Linked DNA regions of Cricetulus griseus. The protein of the gene in region 1 purifies or fractionates together with the protein of each later gene. This does not show direct contact. Links are inferred from orthologs where the notes say so. Each region holds a gene or a part of one and is shown in the gene's direction. Other genes may lie near its edges. The genes, in order: Copa and Copg2.

The links.
Region 2: the proteins of Copa (region 1) and Copg2 fractionate together in Homo sapiens (co-fractionation; 4 studies listed by BioGRID and IntAct, with this or other methods). This does not show direct contact. The link is inferred for Cricetulus griseus from reciprocal best matches to the Homo sapiens genes COPA and COPG2.

What each region holds. Positions count from the first base shown.
Region 1 is NC_048598.1:20,726,933-20,738,495, reverse strand, and holds the end of Copa (coatomer subunit alpha), read left to right. Parts: intron 1-685; coding exon 686-774; intron 775-1,049; coding exon 1,050-1,173; intron 1,174-2,800; coding exon 2,801-2,890; intron 2,891-3,056; coding exon 3,057-3,166; intron 3,167-4,068; coding exon 4,069-4,146; intron 4,147-4,313; coding exon 4,314-4,382; intron 4,383-5,247; coding exon 5,248-5,384; intron 5,385-5,605; coding exon 5,606-5,792; intron 5,793-5,876; coding exon 5,877-5,987; intron 5,988-6,228; coding exon 6,229-6,390; intron 6,391-7,520; coding exon 7,521-7,715; intron 7,716-7,975; coding exon 7,976-8,035; 3' UTR 8,036-8,611; downstream 8,612-11,563. UniProt on the Homo sapiens protein: The coatomer is a cytosolic protein complex that binds to dilysine motifs and reversibly associates with Golgi non-clathrin-coated vesicles, which further mediate biosynthetic protein transport from the ER, via the Golgi up to the trans Golgi network.
Region 2 is NW_023276806.1:196,962,292-196,974,056, forward strand, and holds the start of Copg2 (coatomer subunit gamma-2), read left to right. Parts: upstream 1-4,475; 5' UTR 4,476-4,490; coding exon 4,491-4,638; intron 4,639-5,090; coding exon 5,091-5,143; intron 5,144-5,941; coding exon 5,942-6,022; intron 6,023-8,586; coding exon 8,587-8,658; intron 8,659-11,765. UniProt on the Homo sapiens protein: The coatomer is a cytosolic protein complex that binds to dilysine motifs and reversibly associates with Golgi non-clathrin-coated vesicles, which further mediate biosynthetic protein transport from the ER, via the Golgi up to the trans Golgi network.

The sequences.
Region 1 (11,563 bases):
AAACATAGAAAATAATTAATAAACAAGACAAACAAAAAGGCTGGGCGGTGGTGGTGCACGCCTTTAATCCCAGCACTTGGGAGGCAGAGGCAGGTGGATCTCTGTGAGTTTGAGACCAGCCTGGTCTACAAAAGGGAGTTCCAGGACAACCTCCAAAGCCACAGAGAAACCCTGTCTCAAAAAACCAAAATAAATAGATAAATAAATAAAACATCCCCTCACATTTAGAGTATAGCTTAGCTTTGGTTCAGTGTTGTCTACTAAAGCTGCATTCAGAGTGTTGTCCAGGACTATAGACATACAAAGACCCAACAGGAGAAGAATGCATTTCCATACTCATTTGTATGGGTGTGGCCATTACTTGGGTCTTTGCTCCCCTTTGAGAGACAGTGTCATTTTGCCATGTTACCTTCTCCATCACGAAGTACCAGCATGGCACCTGGTTTCCCTCAGGACAGGTTAACCAGATGACACCCAAAATAGAATCTACAATTGTAATCTTGGGCGTGACATTTCATCATTTCGGACTATTCTGTCCATTAGAAGCTAGCTAACAACTTCAGCCTACACTTATGGTTGGGTATTATGGAAGCATTTGGATATTAGGAGATAGGGGTCACCCCCTCCCTCAGAATAACATTCTCTTGGAAATGTACTTATACCACAAAGCTTGTTTTTTCTTTAGAATCCCTGGCCTATCTCACAGCTGCTACACATGGCTTAGATGAAGAAGCTGAGAGTCTAAAGGAAACATTTGACCCTGAGAAGGAGACAGTGAGTATATACACACATGTTTCTGATAACAGGACTCATTCTCATCTTGGGATCACTTAAAACCATAAATTTTCAAAGCTACACAGAGAAACCCTGTCTCAAAAAACCAAAAAAAAAAAAAAAAAAAAAAAAGCCATAAATTTTACTCTACCAGCAAATTATAGAGAGAGGCTTAAAGATGTCTAGAGGAAGCAGAGTAACCTTTTCTTCTATATAATGCTGTCGAGAGCTTAAGAGCTATTCATGTTTAATATCTTTATTATTCCACCTCTCAGATCCCGGACATCGATCCTAATGCCAAGCTTCTCCAGCCGCCTGCACCTATCATGCCACTGGATACCAATTGGCCCTTATTGACTGTGTCCAAAGGGTTCTTTGAGGGCTCCATTGCCAGCAAGGGTAAGTGCTCATTTCTCCTATAGCACGCTATAGTAGATTGCTTGCCTAGTGTGTATGAAACTCTGGGTTCATCCCTACCATTATGCACATACTGACACACACCTGTAATACCACCAGCTAGGGATGTGGAGATAAAAGAATCAAAAATTCAAGGTCATCCTTGACCACATAGTCAGTTTTACGACAGTCCGGACTACATGAGACCACATCTTAAAAACAAACAAAAAAACAATCTTAGAAAGTACCAGTAACTGTTTTACTTGTTCTTTTTTTCTGTGTGAAGTTTCACAGATCACTGAAAAGCTAGCCAGGGCTAGGATGTAGTCTCACACACTGAGGAAATGCTTTTTGAGATCACGAGAGAAAATTTGAGCCAGGTGTGGCACATCTCTGTAATCTCGACATTAAGAAGTTGAAGCAGGAGGAACAAGAGTTCAAAGCCAGTCATCACAGATTATGTAACCAGTGTAAGATCAGGTTGGATCACATGAAACCCTTTCTCAAGTCTCTAGCCCCCCACCCCATCCCCCCAAAACAAAGAAATTGAGAAAATGATGTAGGTGGGTGCCTGTGCTGTCACTGACACCCGTAAACACGTTGATATGTTTCTCTAGTTCACCGTATATACAGTGATCTCCACTCGTTATTTTCCTGTTCATGTGCTGTGTTTGTGTCTGTGGGCACCCACTCCATACTGCCATCCTTGCCCTCTTACTTGCTTGGACATTTCCACTACTTCACCTTTATGTAAGCCCTAAGCAGACTTCGGGCATTTTGTGTCTGGCTCTGTTCTTTCCTCGGCCTCCTCATTCTCTGCACAGACTGTAGTAATGGTGATTTAGCAAAGATTTCAGGAAGAAGGTCCAAGGGTGGGCAGCCAGAGACAGCCAGATTTTAGTAACAGAGAGTTAGTTCTCTCCCACCTCAACAGGGATTGAACCCAGGACATCATGCTTGCTAGACAAGCTCTCTACCATTGAACTTAGCTATCATCACCACTCCCCCAAAAAACAACTTCTGGTTATCTCTTCTATTTCCTTTCTTTGTGGATCCTGTTGCAAGTTAGCATAACATATGTACAGCAAAAACAATAACTCAGAATATATGGTTAGGGCCGGGCGTTGGTGGCGCACGCCTTTAATCCCAGCACTTGGGAGGCAGAGGCAGGTGGATCTCTGTGAGTTCGAGACCAGCCTGGTCTACAAGAGCTAGTTCCAGGACAGCCTCCAAAGCCACGGAGAAACCCTGTCTCAAAAAACCAAATTTTACTTCAGAGCTGGTTCAGTCAGTAAAGTACCTGCCATGCAAGAATGAGAGCCTGAGTTTAGATTCTCAGCACTAGAATTGCAGACACTCATATACACAGACATTAAAAGAAAAACAAAACAAACACAAAAACCAGAACCTCGGCAATTATTATTGGGTTTTGTTTGGAGTATTTTTGTTGTTTTGAGACTTAACACAATAAAACATGTTTACTGACATTCAGAGTTAGCACTTCCTAAGTGGAAAACACATATTCCTGAGGACACAGCCCTGAGCAACTGCCTTTGGAAGCTTGCCCCTTGCCTGTAGAGATCGGACTTGATAGCCTCTAACCATTTCCCTTCTGTCCTTCCTTTGGTAGGGAAGGGAGGAGCGTTGGCTGCTGACATTGACATTGACACTGTTGGTACTGAAGGCTGGGGAGAGGATGCGGAACTGCAGTTAGATGAAGGTAGGAATGCTATTTTAGGACTCTTCTTAGATGATAGGCTCCATGGATGGAAGTTATCCATGGGGCAGTCAATAAGCTTCTAACTCATGGAGCCAATTAGATCCTAATATTTTGCTTTTTTTATGCTACCACCCAAATCTATTTTGATCCTGGATTTTCCTTTCAGATGGGTTTGTGGAGGCTTCAGAAGGTTTGGGAGAGGATGCTCTTGGCAAGGGACAAGAAGAAGGAGGTGGCTGGGATGTAGAAGAAGATCTGGAGCTCCCACCTGAGCTGGTATGTGAAGTTCCTCCCCTTTTCACCCTATAAAAACTGGCAGGTGCATGCTCGCTTTCTCTCTCTCTCTCTCTCTCTCTCTCTCTCTCTCTCTCTCTCTGCTCTCTCTCTCTTCTATCTTCTCTTTCTCTCTCTCTCTGTCTTTCTCTCTCTCTGTTCTCTCTCTCTCCTCTCTCTCTCTCTCTCTCTCTCTCTCTGTCTCTCTCTGTCTCTCTCTCTCTGTCTCTCTCTCTCTCTCTCTCTCTCTCACACACACACACACACACACACACACACATCTCTTACAGGATGCCTATCCTGAAGTCTCCACAAAGAGTGGTCCAGAGCAGCCTCCTAATCTGATAGGTTTTGAAAGAGGAGAGCTGACTGTGGACTGTAGCCTTGTTTCCATTCTTATGTAGCATTAGAGAAGGGGATACATAACCTCTCTCTAATCTAATGCTTATCTTCCACTTGAAGGGGGGGTGTTTAAAATCTTATTTGGAGCTTTTGTTATGTCATTTTCATTTTGGTGGCATGGCTTCCTATCTGTCCCTCTTATAACCATCATCTTTCTCCAGCAGAGGTAGGCATCTAAAATGTGTCTTTTATGTCCCTGGTAAGGTGGTTCCCGCAACCATCACTTCTTTTCTTGAACAGAGGTGGCCATCTAGATGGTTGTGCCTTGAAATCATCAGAACACAGTACCTGGACAGCTTTTTTAAATGTCGTGAGGTGGTCCAGCCTGCAAACATAGCTGAGTTGATCAGTGCTTGCCTGGCACGTACAAAGCCTTTGCTGAGAGCCCCACAATACATAAACCAGGCACAGTGGTAGAGGCAGGAAGATTCAGTCCTTGCTACATGGGGAGTTTGAGGCTTTGTCAGACTGTTTAAACAAAGCCTTAATTTTTCTTCCTCTAGGATATACCTGCTGGGGTTGCCGGTGGTGCTGAAGATGGCTTCTTTGTGCCCCCAACCAAGGGAACAAGCCCAACTCAAGTAAGCAGAAAAATACAATTACACAGGGATGAGTGCTCTGGGATGGTTAATATTTGATTTCTGGAGGGGGTGGGGAGATGTTGGCTACCTTTAACAGATATGGAGGAGGAGAATTGGAAAGAAAAAGGAAATTTTTCATTTGACTTAGGTTTTCTGTTTCTTACTAGATCTGGTGCAATAACTCTCAGCTTCCAGTTGATCACATCCTGGCAGGTTCTTTTGAAACAGCCATGCGGGTAAGTCTTTAAAAACCTTGGCCCTTCCTCTTGAGTGTCTATTCCAGAGTCCCAGGAGAATGGTGGACTCATCTTTTCAGCCACGTGGGAGTAGTGGTCTGACCCACAAGGGCCCACAAGAGGCTTTACAAAGGCCTCTTTCCACTCTCCACTTGGCCAGTGAGGGTTTAAGATGCATCTTCAGCCATTGCCAGTGCTGGTAGCCTGCTTTCTGGCTTACATGAGGAAAACCAGCACCTGTTCCTGCACACACTGCAAGTGTTAGGATGACAACAACTGTAACAACCATCAGTGTTTCTTTATTGTTGCTGTGTGTTATTTTAAAATACTCTATATAGATGTTTAAATGGAGATCCTATAATTACCTGTATATTGGCAATGAGAAAGCAATACAGAGATGTAAAATACCTTACCCAAGGTTGACTTAATTTTTAATAAATCCTCAGAGCTGGAGAGATGGCTCAGTGATTAAGAACACTGGCTACTCTCTAAAAGGTCCTGAGTTCAATTCCCAGGACCACATGGTGGCGTACAAACATCTGTAATGAGATCTGGTGCCCTCTTCTGGCCTGCAGACATACATGCAGATAGAACACTGTATACAAAATAAATAAATAAATCTTGAAAAAAAGAAAGAAAGAAAGAAAGAAAGAAAGAAAGAAAGAAAGAAAGAAAGAAAGAAAGAAAGAGAGAGAGAAAAGAAATCCTCCAGCAGTATAGAGGCAGAAATAGGTGGCTCTCTCTGAGTTGAGGCCAGTCTGGTGTACAAGGTGAGTTCCAGAACAGCCAGGGCAACACAGAGAAACCTTAACCTGAAAAACCAAAAAAGAAAGAAAACAAATCCTGTTTCTTTTTTGTTTGGTAGCTTCTTCATGACCAGGTGGGAGTAATCCAGTTTGGCCCCTATAAGCAACTGTTCCTACAGACATATGCCCGAGGCCGCACCACCTATCAAGCACTGCCCTGCTTGCCATCCATGTATAGTTACCCTAATCGAAACTGGTAAGTCTGCTTGCTCCTTGCTACCTCTTCCAAGTTGAAGTAGACACTTCAGATGGTAACCACAGTGAAACGGAATTGCCCTGGAGCTAAGGTTTCCAGAAGAAAAGATCTATGGCTTGTTACTTTGGAGTTTGGTTTATACCAGTTGTCATCCTGTTCCCAGCTACTTTCACAGTAGAATGACTGACTATCCTATTTTCTTCATAATTTTTCCTTTCCAGGAAGGAGGCAGGGCTAAAGAATGGTGTGCCAGCTGTGGGCCTAAAGCTTAATGACCTGATCCAACGATTACAGCTGTGCTACCAGCTCACCACAGTTGGCAAGTTTGAAGAAGCTGTGGAAAAGTTCCGTTCCATTTTGCTCAGTGTGCCTCTTCTTGTTGTGGACAATAAGCAGGAGATTGCAGAGGTAGGAGTCAAGCCACTTGCCCAATCATCCTGGGCATCTCCACAGTATTGTCTGTGTCATGACTGTTTTCTGCAACCTCTTCAGGCCCAGCAGCTCATCACCATCTGCCGTGAATACATTGTGGGTTTGTGCATGGAGATAGAAAGGAAGAAGCTGCCTAAGGAGAGCCTAGAGCAGCAGAAGCGCATCTGTGAGGTAAGATGCGTAGGGCCAGCCCTGCAAAGGCACCATCCCCATAGCCCTCTATTGGAGTTCCTCTCCATTTCTCCACCCTTATTCCTCAGATCATCAGCTCTCGTATTTTAAGAGGTAGAACTAATCTCTGTCTTATAGCCAATCATCTTTGCTTTGTATTATTTTGTTTTTTATAATTGTGTGCCTATTAATAAACAACAGCTGAACATCAGCCTGCCTTGTGTTCCTTTCTGTCCACTAGATGGCAGCCTATTTCACACACTCAAACCTGCAGCCTGTGCATATGATCCTGGTGTTGCGGACAGCCCTCAACCTTTTCTTCAAGCTCAAGAATTTCAAAACAGCTGCCACATTTGCCCGGCGCTTGCTAGAACTTGGGCCAAAGCCTGAAGTGGCCCAACAGGTACAGGGGAATTCCATTAGGGACTTTAGGGGGGCCAGATGGAAGGAATAGAAGCCCAAGGTCCTTGTCTCTGAAACAAAACAGTATAACAGCATTCAGCCCCAAACAGCCAATAGAATGACACGCTATGTGTTACTTATTGACCTTGGAGCTTCTTTTTTTCCCCCTGAAACCAAAGTAATAATTTATTCAGACATGGCATTGGGTAAGTGACATGCTAAAATACTTTATGTAGATGTTTAAATGGAGTAGACCCTATACTATACAGACTATAACTGTATTTTAGTAATGAGAAAGCAATACTGAGAAGGAAAATACCTTGCCCAAGTTTGACTCAATTTTTTTTCTATGTAGACCTGACTGTCCTAGAATTCACTATGTAGACCAGGCTGGCCTCCAATTCACAGAGGATCTGCCTGCCTCTGCCTCTGCCTCTAACTCCCCAGTACTGAGATTAAAAACATGTACCACCACACCAGGCTAGATTTAATTTTTAATTTGGCATTTGTGCTGCGTGTTACTGCTCCTTGGCTGTGCAATCTAGAATAACTCCAGTGCACCTGCAGATGATGCGTCTGTTCTTAAGCTCCAGGTGACACAGCTTGACCTCTTGTACTTCTCATACATAATCCATTATCTATGCCATCTAAAAACATTCTTCTTAGGCAATAGAAATCTGTTTTAACTCTTTCTGAGGCCAAACCCTAGTAATCTAATCCCTAGACTTTGTGAGAACTGTGGATTTAGAGCAATGGAGCCATGTTGAAAAGAGAGAAAAATTTCACTGTGTATCCCACACTGGCCCTCAAAGTCCTGAATCTCCTGTCTCTGCCTCCTCCTGAGTGCTGTGATGCACTGCTACACCCAGGAGCAATAGCAGTTGTTAATTTTTCACATCCATCTTATCCATAGGATGGGACCTATATTCCTGTAGTGTAGTGGTTGTGTTCTGTTGTTTGAGACTGGGTCTCAGTATGTAACTCAGGCTGGCCTGGAACTTGAGATCCTTCTGCTCCTAAGTGCTGGGATTGTAGATTTAGGCCATCATGCCCAGTATACAGTTGCATCTTATATCAGAGAGTACTTGTGCTGCTTTCTATCCCCTAAACAAAATGTTCTTCCCCCTTCAGACTAGGAAGATCCTGTCTGCCTGTGAGAAGAACCCCACAGACGCCTGCCAGCTCAGTTACGACATGCACAACCCCTTCGACATTTGCGCTGCATCTTACCGGCCCATCTACCGTGGAAAGCCCGTGGAGAAGTGTCCACTCAGTGGGGCCTGCTATGCCCCTGAGTTCAAGGGGCAAATCTGCAGAGTCACTACGGTAAGTCTTGTCCTCAAGAGTATCTCGAGGATATTGAGAGGAGGGGCAAGAGAAGGAAGCATGGTGGTGGTGATTTTCTCACCTTGCATCTGCCCCAGCTCCTTGAGGCAGTGACACTGGGGAGAGCTGGAGCTTCTGCCCGCTGGCCCACTTCTCAGGACCAAGCATCCATCTGACAGCTTGTTGGGGCGTGTAGGGAATGAGCTTTCTGGGGTCTCCGCCTTGTTCATCTCTAACTTCTCTGATTCCCACTTCCACAGGTGACAGAGATTGGCAAAGATGTGATTGGTCTGAGGATCAGTCCTCTTCAGTTCCGCTAAGTCTCCTTCCTTCAAGTTCGTGGATTAATCACATCCTGTCCTTCAGAGTCTCTCGCTCCACTCCCCTCCCTCCCCTAACATTCACACTTCAGCTTGTTGACATCTGGTTCTCCCAGAAACTTCATGTCCTTTCTCTCCTATGGCAAATTGGGATTTTCAGACTTGACCTTGCTCCTGCAGACCTCTCTCTCCTGAAGGTGATTTTGCCGTTCAGCTTGGGTCTTCCAAGGAACAAATGAAAACTTTGTGCAGGACATTTGTGTAGCAGATTCTTTCAGTATTTATTCCTCTCTTACCTACTGCCTTTGTTTCCACTCCACTAGAAAACAGTGGAATTTAATAAATGCCACGAAATTCATAACTATCTTGTATTTTCCTTGGGCATTTAACGTCATCAGTAGGTTTCTTCCCTCTGTGGGCCCAGACACTTGCAGACTGAGGAGTCTTTTTTTTTTTTTTTTCAAAATGTATACCATTTTTCACTGATTTGTTTTGTCCTTTATAGCCATTGTTCTTGTGTTTTGTTGCTCACATTAAAAATAAAGTAAATACTTTATTTCCCTGGCTTGCCATTTACTTCTTGGACAGTTAATTTCATGTGCCTGTTCGCATCTATGTAGCTCTCTCACCAGAGGAGATTCTTTGTTCAGAATCAATTTTTAATTATTATATACATTTTAATTAATATCACTGCAAGGAGAAAATGACATTTTTTTCTTAAGAGATATGTGCTGCATAGATCTACATTGTTGGAGAATGGTAAGAAGAGTTCTCTTGGAGCTGGGAGATGGCTCAGTGGTTAAGAGCACTGGTTGCTCTTCCAGAGAACCCAGGGTCAATTCTCAGCACCCACCTGGCAGCTCACACCTGTCTATAACTCCAGTTCCAGGGGATTTGACACTCTGACACAGACATACATGCAAGCAAAACACCAATAAAATAAAAAGTAAAAAGAGTTCTCTGTTGCATTTTTACTACAGCTTTCTATCTGTTGCTGATTACAGCCAATATTTGCTGAGCACCTATCAGTGTCCATCACTGTTCATGTATTTACAATAAGCACACAGTTGTCTTAGCTTCTTTTCCCAGTACTGTGACAAAAATACCCTGGCAAAAGCAACCACAGGGAGAAAGGGTTTCTTTATTTGACTCCCATTTCCAGCTTACAGTCAGTCCATCACTGCAGGGAAGTGAAGGTGGCAGGGGTTTGAAGCAGCTAGTCACATTAGATCCACAGTCAAGAGCAAAGAGCAAAGAATTCAAGTATTCCTGCCAGTACTCGACTAGTTTTCTTTTTTGTTTTTTGTTTTTGTTGTTGTTTTGAGACAGGATCTTATTTGGCTGGTCTGGCTGGCCCTGAACTGACAGGACTGGGAAGAAAAAGGAGGGTTTTGTTGTTGTTATTGTTGTTTGTTTTTTCCAGACAGTGTTTCTTTGTGTGGCAGCCTTGCCTGTACTGGAACTCACAGAGATCTGCCTGCTTCTGCCTCCCCAGTACTGGGACCAAAGGAGTGCACCACCACTGCCTGGCAAGAAGTCTACCTCTTTTCAGTACCAGCACTCTGAAGGCAGAGGCAGGCAGCTTTCTCCTTTAAATTCAGGACCTCAGGCCCAGCAAATGCTGCTGCCCACGGTGGGCACATAATTCTAAACAGACATTCTCTGAGGTCCTTCTACCAGGTGATTCTAAATTATGTCATATTCATAGAACTATCACAATTGTCAGAAGGGCATTTTGCTTCTATACTGAGTAATGGATAGATGATATATTACTCCTTTGATTTAAAATATAAGCATTCAGACCCAGTCTGGTGGCTCCATCTGTTCTATAGCACTTAGAAGGTTAAAACAGGATCAAAAGTTTAAGACCAGCTCAGGTCTTTAATCCCAACAGTTCAGAGGCAGAGGCAAATCTGTGAATTCAATACCAACTTGGCTCAGTCTACATAGTGAGTTCCAGATCAGCCAAGGTCTACACAGTGAAATCCTGTCTCAAAAAAAAAAAAAAAAAAAAAAAAAAAAAAAAAAAAAATAGTTGAAGACCAGAGACTGGAGAGATGGCTCAGCAGTTAAGAGCATTGGCTGCTCTTCAGAGTACACAGGTTCAATTCCAACCATCTATAACTTCAGTTCCAGGTGTTCTAACTCACCCTTCTGGTAACCACAGGCACAGCACATGGTGCACAAATCTATACACCCATCAAAACGTTCAACCACAAAATAATCATTTTTTTTTTTTTTAAGTTCAGGATAACTCCGGGTATTTCAGGGCCTGCCTGGACTACCCTATCTCAAAAACAACAAAATAGGCTAACATGTGGCTCGGCAGTTAAGAGCAAGCATAGTTCTTCCAGGGGGCCCAGGTTCAGTTTCTATCACCAGTAACTCCAGCTCCAGGAGAGCCAGGGTTTTGAGCCTTCACAGGCACCTGCGCTCCCATGCACAACCCCACGTGTAGATCCACACAAGCACACAGCTGGAGATGTAGCTCCATTGTAGAGTGCTGGCTTAGTATGTACAGGGTCCTGGACTTAGTTCCTAGCACTACATAGGGTAGCACACACCGTTCTCAAAAACTAGATAGATGCAGAAATTTTGTTTAGTGACTGGAATTGAACCCAGGGTTTTGCACATGACAGGCAAGCATTCTACTACTGAGCTATCTATATCCACTGGGGAAAAGATGTGCAAAGTGTGTACCAGGTTCTTTGTGTTATTTCTGAGACAGGTCTTGAACATTTTGCTTTAAAACTAGTATACATACTAGTTTTTTCACTGCATATTTTAAGTTATGAAAGTGTCTATAGTATCTGGGTTATGCAGTCTTTTGCAATTATCAGCGTTGTTGCAATAAATAAACTTGAACACACATTGTATGGGTGGGGAAAGTATCCCTGAGGCTGAACTACAAAAGGAATACCTGCTTCAAAGATCACAGGACTTTTATGTTGTCAGATCTAAGAGTTGCTGTCTTAAATATAATCCTCAAACTAAGGCTGCTTTCTCAAAAACCTGTATACTATAAAAATATTTTCTCAAGTTTTAAACATCCTTCCTGCAAGTACAGGCAAGAATCAGGCATGGTGGCTTACACCTATAATTAAAATTCTTGGAAGGCTGAGGCGGAACAATTGTCTCACATTCAAGGCTAGCCTTGGCTAAAGAGTGAGACCGTCTCAAGAACGACATCTTGGGGGTTACAGAAATGGCTTAGCAGAGGACTAGAGTTCAGTTCCCATCATCCACACCTGGTGGCTCATAACCACCTATAACTCTTAGCTCCAGAGGGATTTGTCACCTCTTGCTCCTAACAGGAAGTGCACTCACAAACACACACCCAAATGCGTATGTGCGCACACACAATTTTAAATAATTAAAAATATTTTTTAAGTCTTGGCAGGATGATCTTTTAAGTTCTAGGCCAGCCAGTGCTACATAGTGAGACCCTGTCTAAAAATAAGGGTCTTTTTTTTTGTAAGTTTACAAATTAAATCACAAAACTGTACACAAACATTCTAAAGTAAGTAT
Region 2 (11,765 bases), on another chromosome or scaffold:
GCATCTACGTGGCAGCGGGTCTAGGGTGGCTTGGCGGAAAATTTATCATTACAATTCAAAGGAGGATTTTATCTAATATTGAGAAGACAGGGGATTCTGGAATCAGCTGAAAGGTTTGAAGCATGGCCAGTATCTCAATCCCTCCATTTTTTTTTTTAAACCAACCACCCCAACCCTCTGGCTATTTTCCTTTCTTCCTTGGGATCTCCGGTGATGTAGCTGACTTTTAGGTGGCTAGCCATTAATTCACAGTCCTATATCAACCAAGTACACTTTTGTTGGTTAAGGTTTTCCACTGACAATGATTTCAAGACTGAAGGGAAGTACTCTGAAGTCTATGCTTTGAGGAAACAGAGAAAAATGTATCCTAACCTCATCTTTGCTCCAGCCTCCCAGAGAGAGGCAAAGAAAGACGGTAAGTTCTCCTCTCTCCAACTGTGCTTTGCTAAACTGAGATGTGGGCTAGAGTGAGAATCCACTGGGCTTAGAGACTTGCTTGAGCTGGCATCTTTTGTCATGGGTCCAAACACTACTTTTCCTTATAGAAGGAAAGTTAAGATGGTGCTAGACTATTTTGATACTCACATTTCTAGAAAGTTCAAGAAGGTAAGAGAGTTCCCTGGACTATATCAATCTACCATTTTCATAGTTTTTGCAATAATGATGCATTTTAAAGTAAAAAAAAAACTCTTAAACTAAATAGTATAATTGTTGATAACCTGGATTTGACATTTGGCTACATGTAGTTTAAAATGTATATTTGTGTACAACCTAAAACCTCCCAGATACGTGCACATCATACTTTCTGGAAACCTGCTGTAAAGGACCAAAGGCTAAGTATGTGTGTCACAAGCCTGATGTTCACGTCTTTAACCCTAGCACTTGAGAGACAGAGACAGGCAGATCTCATGAGTTTGAGGTCAACCTGGTCTACATAGTGAGTTCCAGAACAGCTAGAGCTACATAGTGAGACCTTGTCTTGAAACAACAAAAAGTATGTGTGTCTCAGAGGCCAGCAGGTCTCTTTGAGACAGAGGTAAGAATAGGGTTGAAGGGTGTTGGGACAAGGATTTACAGAAGGCATAGTAAGAATGCTCATACATTGTCTCTCATTTGATAACACTCATGGGGGCGGGTGTTCTGTGTTAGGCTCTTACTAAACACCAAAGGTAAAGACAGTCTAGACCACGAAGGGCCTTGTATATTATATAAATATGCAATATGTGCTTGGATTTTCTCCATTATGTAGTTGGGCCCCACTGAAGGGTTTCGGGGTGTCAAACACATAACTGTATATTAGACATGCAATTGATGAGCCTCTAGACTTCACCAGTCACAGCTTTAGCATAAGGCAATCATTATTTTCTTTTAGAGATATAGGTTATATTATACCACCCTTTCCTAGCCTCCTTCCATCGTCTCTGTCTCCTCCTATACTCATTTGCCCCTCCTTCCATTCTATCCCTACCTATGCTTCTCCCCAATTCCCCATATACAACTGAAACCAATCTGTAGTGAGGGGGAAAAATGGATCAATGTATGAAAAAGCTGAAGAAGCACAGTGATCCATCTTGTTTAAAAGAGCCCAGCCTCACCCCACCCTCAGTTTCTTTACTCTTCCACAGGCCTCCTTTACATTACCTGTTCTTGAAAATTGCCAGGTTTCATGACCCTGTCCCTACCTAACTCCCAATAACTATGGTCCAAGGGAGAAGAGGGTCTCTATAGCAGGTCTCTCTTGTCAGACTTTCTTTGGACTCCCCCCAAATAATGACACAGAGACTTATTATTAATTATAAAAGATTCGACTTAGCCTAGGCTTGTTCCCAACTAGCTCTTATAACTTAAATTATCCGGTTTATATTAACATATATTCCGCCACAGGGCTCATTACCTCTCTTCATACTGTACATCCAACCACCTCCACATCTTGTTGGCTTCATCCCCCAGCATGCAGAAGACTCTTTCCAAGTTTTTTCTCTCCTCTGAAGTCATCCTTTTCTTCTCCTGTCTGGCTATTGTCCATTCAGCTCTTTATTAAACCAATCAGAAGATGCCTTGGCAGAGACACATCTTCACAGTGTACAAAAGATGATCCCATAACTGGTCTCTCCTTCTCCAAAGCCTGTTTGTTTTCAGCCCCAGAATATAGATGAGGAAGCATGTTTCTTCCACAAGAGACTCCACATGATGAGCATGGGTTAGAATTTATAAGCCAAATGAGGCAGTTACAATCATTAGCGTAGTCCTCAAAAATTTAAGTTAGATTTATTTATTTTATTTGATGTATGAGTGTTTTGCCCTATATGCTGTGTACTTCATGTGTGGTTGGTTGCCCACAGAGATCAGAAGAGTGGGCATCAGATCCTCTGAAACTAGAGTTACTGATAGCTGTGAACTATCATGTGGGTGCTGAATTGAACCCCAGGTCCTCTGCAAGGGCAACGAGTTCTCTTAAGCACTGAGCCATCTCTCCAGCCCCTAGCATAGTACTTTTAATCAGAATGGAGCAAAGTCTTAAGTAATACCATTATTAAGGATTAGACACATTATTCAGCTTAAATCTGTGTCTGGTGGGAAATTTTTCTTTTGGTTTTTCGAGACAAGGTTTCTCTGTGTATCCCTGGCTATCCTGGAAACACTCTAGACCAGGCTGGCCTCAAACTCAGAAATCTCCCTGCCTCTGCCTCCTAGTGCTGGGGATTTAAGGCATGAGCCAACCATGCCTTAAATTTTTCTTTACTATTTGCAATATAACCTTGGTAAGACTTTGTAATTTTGCAAGAGCCCTGTCTGTAACAGGATGACCTAGGTATACAGGCATAAAGTAGCATATCAGTCTGCAGCCTCTAATGATATTAGTGACATTAATGATGACCTCTCCAAACCTGAGTTGTTAGTTTACTGTGTACCTAAATGGCCAGTTATGGTGCATTTCCTCAACAGTGATGTGTTTCTGGAGAGATCTGGGTAGAAGTTTTGTAGGCTCGTTAGGAATTTGCCCAAGAGGCAAACCACACCCTGAACCCAGGACAGTAGTTAAGATCCTTCATCAATAGACAACGCCCTAAGAACAGGTGGAACCGGAAAGACCATCTAGAATATGATGCCATCCATGACAAAGGTAGAAAAATTGTGTTATTCATACTTCGAGACGGGGCCGAGAATGAGAGAACATTTTGGGAAAGCACCGGGGCACGTGAGAGAGAGAGTGTGTGTGTCCCTTAAATTACTTCAGCGTTAACCAGTATGGCTGAAGATTGAATCATTTGAAGACCAAATTGGCAGTGGGTTTTGGTGACGAAGGAATCCAGAATCCAAAGAGGTCAAGAATGGCAGTCCCAGAATGCACCCTCTTGGTAAGAGTTAGTCTGGTCCCACCAAACGGATCGCATCACACCTTCCTTTAATTATCCCTCTAGTCCTTTCGGAGATGCACATTCAATGCGTTCTATGCTTTGTCGTAGTTTCCAAGAAGTCAGAGGATGCGACACCAACTTCGTCCATGCTTTTGGAACCACTGACATTTTTAAAGCTTCTGGAGGAGAAGCCTACCAGAACTGTGCCAGGGGAGAACGTCTTTCGCTATGGAAGAGCTCAGCAGTGGGTTATCCAAAATGCCACCGTCATTAAGTGAAGACAAATCCTTCACCCCTTCCTGGCTCTCCAAGAACTGAGGAGGCCTGGAGAAGTCACCAACTAACCAAATAAAGTTCCACACTTGCTGCCTCAGACCCGAGTTGCAGAACCTGGGACGAGGGGCGGGGCAAGCCTGCGGGCAGGGTCTGGCCCTGGCCCCGCCCCCGTGCGACAGTGGGCGGAGCAGAGGGCGTGCCTGCGTCCCTAGGGGGCGAGGGCGGCCATGGACGCCCGAGGGGGGCGGGCCTTGGCCCCGAGTGACGGCCCGCTGGCCCAACCGGTGTGAGGACACGGGGCCGGCCTTCCTGCAGCGTCTTCCGCTCGCCGGCTGCGGCGCCTGGAACGGTTGCGGTGGGTCTGGGCGCTGGGAAGCCGTCCAAGATGATTAAAAAATTCGACAAGAAGGACGAGGAGTCTGGTACGCGCGGCGCTCCGGACGCCCACCCTCCAGCGCAGGGGTCCCCCTTCCCTCGCCCGCAGCAGCCACCTGCTCCGGGGACCGGCCGCATCGGCGGGGTCTGCCCGAAGCCCCTCCCCCGGCGCCGGGGCCTCCCCTCGGGCCGCGCGCTCCCGGCCCGGGTGTCGCCTGGAGCGCTCGGCGGCTCCGCCCCGGCGCGTCCCCGCCCCTCAGAGCCGGCCCTCCGCGGGGCCCTGTCGGGGGGCGAGGAGGTGCGCGCGCATGTCTCGGTAGCCTGGGGTTGCTGGTGGGGTTAGGCCCCAGGGCGAGCACCCCTGGTTGCTGGGGCTGGCTGGGGTCGACCGGGCCAGGGTTGCGTGTTTATGGACTCTGAAGGGCCTTGATTCTCCTGTTCCCAGGGGTTAAGACTGCCCGGTGGGACACAGCTCATTGAATGCGCAGGCATCCAGAAGTGACTTGCGTGTTGATCCCTGTCTGTGGTGCAGTGCAAGTGGGGAAGATGCCAAGCCTCTTCAAAAAAAAAAAAAAAAATCTTCAGCTCTTCAGTGGTAGCTGCTCTCACAAGTGTGGTGGAAGGTTGGGTTAGTGGACCTTCATGGCCTCATCCTGCATGGCCTCTTTACATTTGTGATTCTCTGCGACACTGTTCCTTTCTGCTTCAGTAAATGTGTGAAACACGTACAGCAGGGCTTGCTTTTAGGGAAATCCATAGTGTCCTGTCATCTCATTACTCTTGGTGGTGGTGGTGGAAGCGACACATTTGTTAACATCCATGGGATGGGGGAAGGCACTCATTTTGGACAGGGTTCCTATATCCAGAGAAGGCCATGCTCCCTCAGTATGGCAATGACAGAATTTGTACCAGAACCAAAATTACTTCTTCCAACTAATTTGCATATTAGTCATGGTTGTCCTTGTGACTTCCAAGGGACCATACTGTTGAGGTGAGAATCCCCAAGCATGCAATGTCCTTCTCTGGAAAAAGTCTTTGCAGGACAGCTACCGAAGACCTTCTCTTTTTCTTACACTATAGGTAGTGCTTCCAATCCTTTCCAGAATTTGGAGAAGAGTGCTGTCCTGCAGGAGGTATGGCTTGAATGTGTGCACTACCTTGTTGATTCTGTTTGAGAATGATGGGCAGAGAACCTCTGAGGTACTAAAGTCAGGACACCCAAAATAAGAATGAAGGAGCGTAGACCCACCTGGCAGGCTAAAAGTCACTCTTCCCTACATTTGGTCAAAGAAAGAAATTGATTTTTCTTTTTTATATTAAAAGTAAGAAAGGAGTATAACTGAGTGCAGAGGATAGAAAGAGGGAAAAGGGCAGTCTGGAACCATAGAGAGGTAGACCTACAGGCTCTGTTGGGTGCTGGGGGATTTTAATGAAATACTAGAAGAAGTAGTGTTAAGTGCAAGGTTATTGGAAGACTTCACAGATATTAACTATTTTATTTTTTGGTTTTTCGAGACAGGGTTTCTCTGTATTGCTTTGGAGCCTGTCCTGGAACTCCCTCTGCAGACCAGGCTGGCTTAGAACTCACAGAGATCCACCTGCCTCTGCCTTCCGAGTGCTGTGGTTAAAGGCGTGTGCCACTGACGCCCAGCTCAGATATTAAACTCTTGATGTTCCTATGTAGACAGAGGTTCTGGTAAAGTCTTTAAAGTTGAAATAGCCAACCTAAGGGAGTAAATAAGAAAGTATAGATAGGAAAGTCCAGGTCCCATCCAGTAATTTACTGTATACTGTCATAACTTGAGAGCATAGACAACTGACATTATTTGGATAGTTTACTAACGTGATGTTAATGTTACTAAAGATGATTTGTTGTCCTCTGTGATAGAAATTACACCATATATAGCATACTGTTTTGCATGTTTCTGTAGGCACGCATATTCAATGAAACCCCCATCAATCCAAGAAGATGCTTGCATATCTTGACAAAGATTCTGTACTTACTCAACCAGGTAAACTATTCTGACTTCCTGAGATTTGTTTGTTAGGACAGAAATAACATGAGCCATGTTCAGGTTTTGTATTAGTAGCATTATTACACTATTACTACCAGTTTGATTCTGGACAAGTAGTTTAATCATTATGTGGGTTACTGCTCTTGTGTAAATGAGGATTGCAATACCAATATATTTTCCTCCTGAGATGGTTTCTCTGTGTAATAGCCCTGGCTGTCCTGGAACATGCTCTGTAGATCAGCCCAGGCTGTCCTCGAACTCACAGAAATGGGCCTGCCTCTGCCTCCCGAGTGTTGGGATTAAATGTGTGTGCCACCACACCCAGATGATAACATTACAGTTAAATGAAATAGTAGATATAAGCCATTGTAATAGTATTAAGCACATAGTTTGTATTCAGAAATACTTTCCTTTTGTAACTCAACAAGTTTTATTGCATTCCTGCTGTATCTTATATACTGTTCTAGGCACTGGTGTTATAGCAGACAAAACCAATTTTTTTTTTAAATTCTGTGTTCTATTATTGCTATTAATTTTCTTTTTTGCCTTTGCCTCAAACAGTAAATTCAGTCTCACAAATATTTAAAACTTTAGAAAATATGATTTTATTTTGTAGACAGTATGTTTCTCTTTGAGTATTTATATACAAACCTATATACTTTGCATACCTAAGAGATTTATATGTATTACTAAATGTGTTATATTTACCAACTGAAATTCTAAGAAAAAATTTTATTTTACTTTTTTACATTTACTTATTAACTTTGTGTGTGCTTTCCTCAAGTGCATATGGAGGTCGGGTCTCTCTACATGGCGACTGAACTCAAGTTGTCAGGCTTGGTAACAAGTGTCTTTATCCACTGAGCCATCTTAACAGCCTCTAAAGACGTAATCTAAAGACTTAACAAAATTTTGTTGTTTCCAAATGAAGATTGAGAAATAAGCATGTTACCCTACTGTGGCAGCATGTTAGGAATGTTTAAGCCAAAATCAGTTTGACTTTGCATCACATATATTGTATTGTAGTCCAAAGTGGCTAACTCCATTGGAATTGTAGTAGTCAAAGTTGGTTCAAAGAAGTCAAAGTCAAGTTGGCCAATATCTCTTTCTTGGATCAATTCCTGTTGGCAGTGATCTTGTTAAGGAGACTGGGCATGAACTTGGTCATGTAAACAGGGTTGGGAGCATTCATTTTATCCCCTTCCCTGGTTCTTGTAGAACTCTATGAGAAAAGGGGGAGAAACAAACAAACAAACAGACAAACAAAAAAACACTTCAAAATTTCTGCTAGAGTTGACAGAGCCACACATTCTGAGTTTAAGTCAAAAAGTAGTAACAAGATTTTTCTAATATGACTGAAGACTCCCACAGGATTTTGGGTATTTGGCGAGTTTCACAGTAAGAAAGGCCTGTCTCTTTCTGATAAGCAAGTTGGACACTGATTTAAATAGTTGTAAACTTTTGTTAGACTTTGTCTTTCATCCTAAACTGGAGACACTTTTTATAGCAAAATTCTTATCCCCTTGGCAAATAGATGTAAGACTACTTGTATCTCATTTAAAATCTGAACCCTGAAAACTGATTGGGCTTGATGTGCTGTATAGGACCAATGTCAAAGAAAAGAGTAAGTATTGAAATGGTAGTGTTTGAGGAAGTCTATGACCAGAAATGTTTTAAATTAGTGAATTAAGTTGTCTATCTGAGCTACTGCCAGATCAGCAACAGCATTGTCGTGTCTGGGAGTTTGTACCAAGTGAAAACTGTCATGTTTCCTCAAGATTTCACTGAAGGGGACTGCATTTTGACAGGATCCCTAAATAATCTGTTTTCGCATCAAAAATTGTAAGCTCCAAATCATGCTTCTAAGAGTTTTTAGGTCAGTATCTATAGCACCTAGAAAGATAAAAAGAAGATGAATCTAGATCCTTCTCTTTTGGTTTGGATACCATGTTGCCATTTTTTCTGGGATCACACACACACACACACACACACACACACACACACACACACACACACACACACACACACACACACACACACACACACACACACACACACACACACACACACACACACACACACACACACACACACACACACACACACACACACACACACGCACGCACGCACGCAAGCGCGATACACCTGTCCTGTACTGGTTATGTGCCAGGCATTAGACTGTGGAAATTTACAAGGTGTAATCCCTGATTTTAGGTTGTGTGACCTTATCATGCAATGGTGATTGGAAATTCTACTTCCTATCATGTTTTACCTCCCTGTAAATCCTTGAGGGAAATAGAAGCAGTTTCTGTTAAAGATGTAGAGACTACAATTCCAGAACTGTGGTGTGGTATTTTGAATTATTTTAAATAACAAGTCTCTAAATGGCCCTGAGGAGTTTTTCTCCCCTGCAGGTTTCTAAATCGAAAGCAGAAAAGTTGCCAAGAATGTTTATAAAGAGACCTTCTCCTGAATTCAAAATGATTTCTTGAGGAAATAAAGAGAAAATCCTTAACATCTATATTTTTTCATTTTAAAAACTCGTTTTAAATTTTACTTAGGGTGAGCCCTTTGGGACTATGGAAGCTACAGAAGCCTTCTTTGCAATGACTCGCTTGTTTCAATCTAATGATGTAAGTCTTTTTTATTCTTTTATGATGAAAACATTTATTTTTCCCAGGAACTTAAGAGTATTCCAAATTAAAGAGGGTTGTTTGAAATGTTTAAAATGACTTTAAAACAGTCTTTCCTTATAAAACTTACGGATGTTTTTAAATGTCATGTGAATGTGGGAGAATGAAAGTATATAGTATAAAGTATATTGTATAGTATTACTATATAAAGTATATAGTATAAAGCTGCTCCTGACGTCATTAGGGGGAAAGCTGATACCTGAAGTCCCGCTCAGTTGGCTCCTAGTCAGGTTTTTCTTGGGTCCAGGTTATTGGTCAGCGGGGTGGCGGTTGAAAAGAGCTGCATTTGGAGTGGGGACACAGTAAGCCTGCCACACCTCCGTAGCTGCCTCATTACCCTGGGCCACCTCAGTGCTTAGAGGTGGTTGCTGCCGCTCTCCTTGTGTTTTCTGAGTGTGGCACATCTCTTCTGTGCCCAGCTTCAATACAGACACACACAGGGAGGAGAATTCTGGGATACATATTTCTTAGCCTTTTGTTAACATGCTTTTGCCAACTTCTTTTCATGCATATTGTGTATCAGCACAGGGTACATTTTGTGTCCAGTTCCTAGGACCCCTGGGATTTGAGTCTGCCCCATATGTCTAGATAATGAAGATTTTAGAAGTGGTTCTTCAAGAAAATCAGCAGACCCCTGTAGGACAGTTCTATTAAGGGAAGCCTTATATATGCTCAGGTAGAGGGAGAACAGTCCCCTCAGATCAGAGTACTTGTATTGACAAAAGATGCTTGGCAGAATTTGGGGTTTCAGATACCTTCATCAAAATCTGTCCATTTGTCTCCACCTCACTTTCAGATCTTCTTCCTTGCCAATCTAGTTCTCCAGGGGTATGGCTTCAATTTGTTTTGTAATTAAACTTCCTGCAGGATATGCTTTCCCAGTTTTGTGGCCACATGGTCATGGCAAAAGGGTTCCTGTCACACAGCAGTATAATATATAGTATATATGACCAGAGAGGATCTCTGGTTCCTTCACAGACTTTCAGCTGTCCATTTTAAACCTGTTAAGCTCATCATTTTCTTTGAAGAGATTTGTATGTGATTTGTATGTGCACACATGCGGTGGTGCCTGTGTGGAGGTCGAGGACGACTTGCAATACTCAGTCCTGTCCTTCCACCATGACGGTCCAGGTGATTGAACTCAGGCCTTCGGTATCGGTAGCAAGTGCCTTTACCTACTGAACTAGCTTTCTCAGCCCCCTAAACAAATTACTTTTAACAACTTAATTTTTATTACAATGCACCCTCTTATTTAACTAAAACTGTCTTCTGTAAGTCTTTACAAGTGATAATTTAAATGTTTCTTTGTTATTTCATGCTATGGACTACTTTCATCCCCTGATTACCTAGAAACAGGATTGTTAATGTCTTCAGTCCAAACAGAGAAGCATTTTCAAGTTCCTAGCCTCTAGGACATGCACCCTTTTAATCACTTCCTGTACCAAGAATTCAGCGTTCAATCAAAAAACAGAGCCATTGTGCTCTTCCTTCAGGGTTAGACTAGAAAAGTAGGCATTTCAAGTTGTTGGAATAGTGCTGTTTTATAAAAGTCAGGCAAGGCTGGATGTGGCTCTGATTTTGCAGTCAGGTACCTGGCATTGGGCCTGTTGGGGTCAGCAAATAATTATAGGATAGAGGGGTTATACGTAATGATAGAATGAACCAGGTTGATGGAGCCAAGAGTGGTGGCTGTCACTGCTAGAGGCTGTGACAGCAAAAATGAGTCACCATTGCGGTGAATGATGGTAGGTGATATGGTGTAAGGGCATGACATTTAAAATCCAGAACGTTTTAGGGAAGGGGGTGCACTGAAAGAAGGTGATGTCAGGAGCTGAAAAGGCAGGAGTGGCTTCCTTGTCTGGAGGTTATGAGAAAGAAAACAGCCACCATTTAGAAAGTTGCAGGGCAATCCTTAGGGAACAAAAGATTTCAATTTGAAGGATAGGAACATTAATGGAAGAAAATTGAAATGATAAAAGAATTTTTCTGTGTGTGTGAGTGCACCTGTACGTGTGTGCATGTGAGTGTATGCACAAGGTTGAGTTTGTTGGAGGATGGAAAATAAAATTGTTCATTATCTTTTTTTATAATGTCTGTAGATTTTGTAATGATATCTATCATTTTAATATGGGTAAATTATGTCTTGTATTCCTTAGAGTTTCATCTGGAGGTTTATACCTTATAGATATTTTCATGGAGCAAGCTTTTTGATTTATTGTTTTTCCTATTAATGTTTCTTTTCCAAAATAATTGGAGGAAAATAGGATGAGCTGAAGATATTGGTTAGTTGGTAGAGTGCTTGGCTTGAATGCATGAAGCCCATCACACCAGGCGATGGTGTGCACCTGTAACCACTTGGCAGGTAGCAGCAGGATGACCAGAAGTTTAGGGCCATTCTTGACTGCCTACTGAGTTCAAGTGTAGTCTGTGTCACAGTGTGAAGCCCATTAAAAAGTGAAGCAAGAGAATGAGAGCAAGAGAAGAGAAAAAGACAAACACATAAATTTATCTAATTGTGTATATAAATGAAGAACACAGCATTTACAGAACCAGAATAAAAGCAGACAGGTAATTTTAAAGGAACAAAATCGTATTTTAGCTATGCTGTAGCAGGGTTAGAAATCAGTACTGAAAGAAGCAGAAGAAACGAGTAGGAAAAGAAAATCAGTTATTTTGGATAAATTACTCCATATTTTGATCTTAAGAACCACATTTCTGTTTTGTTTCCAGCTTTGTGTAGGGCTGGATTTGCCCTGCTAAATACTAAATACTAAAGACACACACAAAAAAAACCATGTGAAGTTGCAGTTTCCAGACAGTATGTCCAGCATGCAAGGACTGTGATCTGAGAAAGGGAAGCAATCAAGATGAGCCCTTTGATTGCAGCAGTGAGCTGCCCAGAGGCTGATTATAGGCAACTGGAAGGACAGGGAGAATTGGGAAGGCCAAGAGAGTTTAAATCTTAGGAAGGATACCAGAGAGAGAGGAGAAAAGTGGGGGGGGGGGGGAATTCGTGTACTTGAAGACAGATATAGAAACAGTCTGAA